Schizosaccharomyces pombe: one gene and its partner. Changing the gene in region 2 together with the main gene of any one other region gives a genetic interaction. Each region holds a gene or a part of one and is shown on either strand. Other genes may lie near its edges.

Region 1 (3,053 bases), on a different chromosome or scaffold from region 2:
TGCTAAGCGCTGATGCCAAAACAACAGACGACATTGAACGAATCGTATTTGGATAGTCTTTCCCATCCATCAAAACAAAAAGTTGATCGCACAGAGGCTGTTCAAGTACATCCTGACCAAATTTTATATCATGAGCCAAATCACGCATTGTTTCTAAAGACGACAACACAATGCTTGGGTCTGAAGTATCAGGATTTAAAATTACAGAAGATGACTGATCGAACAACTGTCTATCGTAAAGTGAAACAGATGAATCTGAGCTTACAGTCCTCACATTCAAAAAAAGGTAACATATTGCAAGAAATAGATTCGACAAAGAGAATGTTAAAGTAAAAAAAATTCTGTAAATTTGAGTATTTCTTTTCTTTTTAGACGAGTTTCCCAGAATCGAAAACATTGAACCGATTAATCTCCAATTTTTTCACTCCTGTTAGAGAGTGGTTTATGGTAGGATAGATTTCAAGAAAAAAAAATCCATAGCATGATTAGGCAATTGCCGCTGGTAAATGGAAAACGTAGCAATAAAATTCATGTTAAAAAATAAGAATACGATACGGACGTTGTGGCAGGCATGGAAGCCTTCTAACGAAAATGTAGTAATTGAGTATTTCGCTTTTTGGCAACAACTCAAATTGAGAATTGATTAAAAAAATTGAGCTCAATCAGTTTTCAATTTGAGACAAGTACTTTGAAATTTCCGCCTCAAAAGTTGCACTTGATATTTGGCCATCTTCTTCAAAAATGTGAGCAACAGGAACCGACCATTCAAGTTGAACAGCATTTCTGTTTTTGAGTACGGTAAATTTAGTAGTGATTAGAGGCTTATTTTTCAAAGGTAAAAAGGTATCCGCAGAAATTTTGATGTGTCTTTCTTTTTTCGTAGCAACATAAACAGTACTACCCTTGACTACAGAAGACCAAAATGTGAGCAAGCAGGAAGCTAGGAAATATAAAGGTAAAAGATACTTTAAGTAAGATTTTAAAACACCAAAACCATAAACATACTCAATGCCAAATGCGAGGCCGGCGGGTATAATGCAAGCTATTGCGATCAGCAAACGAATATCTTCAAATACAAAGGATTGCTTATAACCATTTTTGTTAAAATGGTTTGTTAATTCTTTATCAAATTTAGATTTGAAATCTGAAACGTTATATTTTGGCATTTTTACTATTAGCTTAATTATGGTAGAGGAAGCAAGGCTGTAGTTACTGATGATCAGATATGCGGTTTCGTTGATACGATGGCATGATGATTTTTTAAAATTAAGTAACCTAAAAGATGTTTTAATATTTAATATAAATGCCTGAGAGCAAAAACATGAACTCCGCTACTGGAACGAAAGCAAAACAGTCGATTACTAAGTACTTTATAATACTATCATGCTCTTTCAAATACAACGAGCCATAAATTTGAAATAATAGCCAAATAAAAAATATATATGGATTCTCAATAGAAATTGGCGGAAGGGTTTCATAACAAATTAATTTGGTACAAAATATCATGCTCATTTCCTTGTCTCGATAATAATATCAGAATTGCAATCGCAATGACTGTTGAAAAGGATTATGAAATGGAAAATGTTGTTTGAATGTAGCAGTACTTGGCGTTTAGTAAAAAAATAGAGGAGTACAATATTGATATTTCCTTTCGCAAAACCTGTTTGTTCCAATAGTGATATCCCTCGATGAACATATTCCTCGCTTTTATTTATTCAATTTTCACTCGCTAATTGTAAGTTATTATGCAAATGAAGATAAGGAACCCGGTACAAACCGTTTAACAAGCAATTGCTATTTTCTATAGGAAAAGCTAGATTGCAAAAACTACAAAGCATATTGATTTCGTTTGATACAAATGTTTTTTAGGCAAGACAGAGCCACTTGCGAGGGCTCCAATCCTAAATCCAATTTCTGAAATTCGCCTTTTTTACAAATAAAATGTATGAACGAATTTGAAAATGGAACTTTTCTCTCTATCCACGAGTAATGATTAATTAACCATTCAATAAACTTTTAACCTTAATTCATTGTAATTACTCTTTCTTTACTCTTCACATTGGTTTTGCTATTTTGTCTACATGAACGAGTCGTACCGCTGTACGCAAAAATCCTACACTAGGATCAAGACATACAATTTCTACTAAAGCCAAGACAGGTTGCGAAATCAATCAACTTGCAAATATGCAAGCTAATGGGTTTTCGTTTGGCTTTTACGATGAACCAAACAATTTAAACGGCCAAGATGTCGGTGCGGATTCGTTACCGAGCGTTGCTATAGAATCGGATTCTCTGGGACATATGTTGAAGTATATTCCAGAAAAGTTATCATACGCTCGTGTTTCTGGGTTAGGACATACGTTTGTACAAAGGGAATTATGGGATGTGAAAATGCAATTGATGGAACAAGATGATTCCATAGAAAGCGACGATAAACTCAAAGTTTTAGATGGTTGTAATGATCTTGTTCCTAACGTTTACGAGGGTGGTTACAAAACTTGGGAATGTAGCCTGGACCTTGCTAATGAAATCAAGAAGATAGATGTTGTAAAAAACAACTTGACGACGGTCTTGGAGTTGGGTTGTGGAAGTGCAATTCCTATTTTGAGCTGTTTTCAGGAATTTTACAAGCATCGTATCCCTTGTACTTTGGTTTTCCAAGATTTCAATGTTGATGTTCTTCGTTACGTTACTTTACCTAACCTTTTGCTAAACTGGTACTTTTGTACTCAAGAACATGATTCTTCAGAAAAGCATGGTACCATCGATGTATCCCCTAGTTTACTACAAGAATTTAGTGATGATCTTGCTCGTACCAATATCTATTGTGAATTCTTGTGCGGTTGTTGGAGCGAAGAGATGCAATTGTTAATCCAACGTACCTACGGAGATCACTACTTTTCTCTTGTTTTAGCTTCTGAAACCATTTATTCCCTTCCGTCACTCGAAAACTTTCTTTACATGCTTCTCAAAAATACCAAAAATCTCGCATTAGTTGCTGGTAAGGATTTGTATTTTGGAGTCGGGGGTAGTATCTTGGAATTTAATTCGAG
Region 2 (5,004 bases):
TGAAATTGAAAAAATTGGCACAAAATTTTGAAAACATGACTAATAATAAACGTGATGGTAATTTCCGTTTGGACCATGCTGCATATAATACGGATTCGCATACCACAAACCATTCTCACGTTTGGTAAACGGACGATAAAACGCAGAATATGAATGGTTTATTTTAGCTTCAACATTGTATAGAGGGGGAAACTGGCATGTTTCTTTACGATTATAATGATTTCTACTTTTTCGGTGATTAATTTGTGGAATCCAAGTTTTAGCTCCGGGGTTCATGCGAGAAGTATTTGCTCGAACTTTCAAAGGAAGTTCTTTTCGGAGGTATTCTTCTCGGGCTTTAAGCGCAACTAATAATTAATAATTTAACATAAATTAGTCTACTTACGCTCATGCTTTAACTGCATTACCGGAATGCTCATTGTGTCGACAGCAATAGCCTTTTGCAAGCAAACTATGAGATGTGTTAAAAGATGTGAATGGTTCGTTTATTACCTTCAATTTTGTCTTCCATTGTCAAATTATCAGCATGTATATGTGAAATCAATTATAATAAAGGATCTCAAAATAATTTGAATAGTTTCCAAAATTTCAATCAATTTCGAGAAATGATGGTAAAAGGAGCTATATTATATATTTGTGCTTCGTCAAAACAAAATGAGTTATAAATTGCACCGATATTACTTCTATGACCAATTTCATATTTGTTTACACATGTGACTATCATGTGGTAAACAATCGATTCCAAAAGCGTTTTTGTAAACAACAACTACTACCTTTATAATCAATCATTAACGAGTAAAGGAATTGAGGCTAACTCTTCATAATACATATTACCCGGTTCTCCAACAGCGCCTGTTTTCATAATACTTAGTTTATCAAGTTCAATATTATGAGCCCAAAGAAATTGACCGTATTTTTCCATAAAAGGTTCCGAATTAAAAAACCTGATACGTCGCCCCTGGTATTTTATATACCTGGAATTTAACAAGGTGCAGTGTAGCTAGTTTTGTTAGCAAAATTATAATTTGGTTAACATCGCATAATGCGTACAGTAAGAGGTCTAGCGTCTTTAGTAAAAAGATTGTGTTCAGTGAAAATAACTTTTAACCATTCTATGAATTAGCTTATTAATAAAAAAAATAAAAACTCCGTACCACAAAAGGCTTGTAAGTCATTACCATTATGCTTGTCCACTGGAGTAGCATACAGCACCTTGGCTTCCTGAGGAGATTTCCCAAAGAAAGAAGTTCCCTTTAAATCGATTGTAATCTTTTTCTCGCCATAGGATTTTCGGATTTCATCCTCTTTGTTGTATAAAAAATCCATGCACTTGAGAACGTCTTCGTCGTTTTTAACCGGGATCATACCAATAGTAAGATGTGAGACACGAGGGCCACGAAATCCAGATAATATCATGGGATCATTAGATGTTAGTTTAAAATACTTTAAAGATTCCTCGATATAGTGCTCAGATATCGGTAAGGCCAAGAATAACAAATTTGGATATCGCATAATAATTAACAGATTACTATGGCAAAGTATTCAAAGTAATTTATTTACGGAAAGTTGTTCTGCGGCTCAAACAAAATTCACTGATCGCTAATGAAATATGAGGTAAGAGGAAATCACTTACAAATTTATAATGTAATTAAAATTGACTACATAACAATAATCAGGCTGTACTAATAATAATGTTTAACAACGTCGTTTATATTGAAACGAAAATTGTTCTTCATCCTATCCATTGATTTACTATTGCTGAATTAACGAATTTCATATAGCGTCATTAAGAAATATTAAGTTGTCAAATCCTAAAATCGGTAGACTTATTAGTCTAATCTTTAGATGATAAAATGCGAAGCAGTTCATTTGATCATACATATATATCAACAATTCCAATTCTTAAAAAAATAAGAAAGATAGCTGCAATTATTAGATATGGTGAGTCAACGCTTCGTTTGAGTTTAGATACACAGTCCAACTAAGGATGCCAGATGGACTATTCAACACCACCACAAAATTATTAAAAGTTGTTAAACTATAGAAGAAAAATATATTATACATTCTTCTGAAAACGTGATAAGCCGAAAGATATTTTTTAACACTTCGAATACCTAGGTGGCAGTCGACACACGTATAAAAGAAGTAAACGCATGACTAACTACTAAAAATGGCTCAATCTTCCTACTCTTCTGGTAATTCAACTTCAGATTTAAACAAGATTGTTTTGGACTATCTGTTTAAAAAGGGTTATTCCAGGACTGAAGCTATGCTTCGGTTGGAAATATCCAGTGTTGGCGCAATTCCTGAAGAACAGCAAGACTGGCACATCGGTGCTTCTGAAACTTATGTACAAGTTTATATTTTATTAAGAGATTGGATTGATGGTACATTAGATTTGTATAAGCCAAAACTACAAAAAGTCCTTTATCCAATTTTTGTACACTCTTACTTAGACTTACTGCAAAAAAATGATCCCGAAATGGCAATATACTTCTTTGAATCATTTCGTATAGAGCATGAAGTGTTGCATGGCTATGACATTCGAGCATTAGCTCAGTTGAAGATTGCATCAGACGTTGAGGAGATAGAAATAGCTCAGCTTTATCGCAAAAATAAATACCGGATTAATTTCACGAGGTCTACATTTGATTTACTAGTACAGTTTTTGTTCGAAAACGAAGTCAATGGAAGTGGAATAATAATTCGCTTATTGAATCAGTACATTGATATAAAAATTACTATGCCTCAAGTCGAGGGCAAGGAGGACCCTAATGTGCAAGCGGTCTATGAAATGGACGAAGCTAAAAATGAACAGACAATAATTAGTGAGCAAGAAGGAATTCCTGGCCATTCCGAACAGCTTCTTGATTACAACAAGCAAAGCATACAACTTGGATTACGTCCCTTGTCAGAAGAAGTTGTCACAACTTTAAAAAACTTGTTAGAAGTAAAAGATAAAGACGTGGAGGGAAGAAATGAAGCTCTGAATAAAATATTGCATCCTGCAAAGAACCTTGTCGAATTGCTGACTGAAAAAGAAAATCTAATCAACGAATCAACTCTAGAATCACCATCTGATCCCCCATTACCTCCAACCAAAATGAAGGACATAGACTATTTTGTTTCTTTACTGGAAAGCGAACAGAATTCTTTAATACTCGGAAAAAATGCTACGGATCCTAGTGTTTTCATGTATACCATGCACAATACACTTTCCGCTGTAAATTGTGCTGCATTCTCTGATGACGCCTCTATGTTCGCTCTGGGTTGCGCAGACTCTTCAATTCATTTGTACAGTTCTACTAACAATGGTCCGCAACCATTAGTGGGAAGTCAAAATGAGCCTTTACAAAAGTCCTCTTTAATTGGACATACGAGACCAGTTTTTGGAGTGAGCATCTCTCCTCAAAAAGAGTTTATACTGTCATGCTCTGAGGATGGCTTTACTCGTTTGTGGTCCAAGGATACTAAGTCCACTATTGTCAAATATGCTGGTCATAATGCGCCGATTTGGGACGTTCAGTTTTCCCCTTTCGGCTATTATTTTGCAACAGCCTCGCACGACCAAACAGCACGTCTATGGGATGTTGAGCATGCAGCACCTTTGAGAGTATTTGTTGGACATCAAAATGATGTGGATGTAAGGAACTTTATTTAACTAACAATTCTTATGAGCAGTAACTAACCTTGATTTAGTGTGTTTCATTTCATCCGAATGCAGCTTATCTTGCTACAGGATCTAGTGATCATACAACTAGAATGTGGGACGTTCGCACTGGTGGAACAGTTCGCGTGTTTAATGCCCATCATTCTCCTGTTTCTGCATTGTGTATGTCTGCTGATGGCTTATCGTTGGCATCTGCTGATGAATCGGGCATAATAAAAGTGTGGGATCTCAGAAGTAGTAATCAGCACGTTTCATTCGTTAAACACTCTAGTATCGTTTATTCTCTTTCTTTTTCATATGATAACAAAATTCTGGTTTCCGGAGGTGCAGATACTGATGTTAACTTTTGGGATTTGACATACCGGAATAACTTATCGGACGGCGAACAGTCCCCGCTTTTATTCAATTTTAAAACCAAAAATACTATTATACAAAACTTAAGTTTTACTCGAAGAAACTATTGTCTAGCATTAAGCTCTTCCTAAATATCATGTACATTATGGCCCGCAAATTTTGTGAAAAAAAGAGATATATTATTTTAACGATAACTTTGATATTTGTAAATTTATTCATATTTTTTTAAAATACAATTATACGCAATAAGGTTTCGTAAAGTAAAGAAGATGTAAGTTTTAAGCTTAATATGAAGTCGATCATCACTATCAGAAAGGAACATCTAACCGAAGATTATAAATATAACGGATATGTCGAACGCCTACCACCTTACCACTTTAACCAACTTTAAGAATGGCTAAAAAACTTTCATCACCCAAGGAATATAAAGAATTCATTGATAAATTCGATGTTTTTTTGTTCGACTGTGATGGTAAGCGCTAGCAAAAATATGAAATCTATTTGTAGGCTAACACGCAGGTGTACTTTGGAGCGGCAGTAAGCCTATACCAGGAGTTACGGATACCATGAAGCTCCTTCGTTCTTTAGGTAAGTCCCTTTTATTCTTTTGAGTTAACTCTTTTACAGGAAAACAAATTATTTTTGTCTCAAACAATTCTACGAAATCAAGAGAAACATATATGAATAAAATCAATGAACACGGTATTGCAGCCAAACTTGAGGAAATCTACCCTAGTGCTTATTCATCAGCTACTTATGTAAAGAAAGTGCTAAAGCTTCCTGCCGATAAGAAAGTTTTTGTACTTGGAGAAGCAGGTATCGAAGATGAGCTTGATAGAGTAGGGGTTGCTCATATTGGTGGAACGGACCCGTCGTTGAGACGTGCATTAGCTTCTGAAGATGTTGAGAAGATTGGTCCTGATCCTTCTGTAGGTGCTGTGTTATGTGGTATGGATATGCATGTCACCTATTTGAAATAT

Evidence for each region.
Region 1: mutations in taf51 (region 2) and spc2 together harm fitness more than expected from each alone (negative genetic interaction), as found in Schizosaccharomyces pombe (one large-scale study listed by BioGRID).

Annotation. Positions count from the first base shown.
Region 1 is NC_003424.3:3,862,339-3,865,391, forward strand, and holds spc2 (signal peptidase subunit Spc2), read right to left. Parts: upstream 1,167-3,053; coding exon 663-1,166; downstream 1-662. Other genes in the region: protein Sil1, read right to left, coding at 1-397; ribosome methytransferase Hpm1, read left to right, coding at 2,185-3,053. UniProt on the Schizosaccharomyces pombe protein: Component of the signal peptidase complex (SPC) which catalyzes the cleavage of N-terminal signal sequences from nascent proteins as they are translocated into the lumen of the endoplasmic reticulum.
Region 2 is NC_003423.3:3,031,711-3,036,714, forward strand, and holds taf51 (transcription initiation factor TFIID subunit taf73), read left to right. Parts: upstream 1-1,996; 5' UTR 1,997-2,170; coding exon 2,171-3,643; exon of another isoform or gene 3,644-3,699; coding exon 3,700-4,155; 3' UTR 4,156-4,229; downstream 4,230-5,004. Other genes in the region: protein mug98, read right to left, coding at 40-347, 386-419; SPOM_SPBC15D4.13C (ASCC1 family protein), read right to left, coding at 782-1,000, 1,051-1,112, 1,179-1,512; pho2 (4-phosphoerythronate phosphatase/2-phosphoglycolate phophatase, involved in detoxification of glycolytic by-products), read left to right, coding at 4,418-4,496, 4,544-4,612, 4,652-5,004.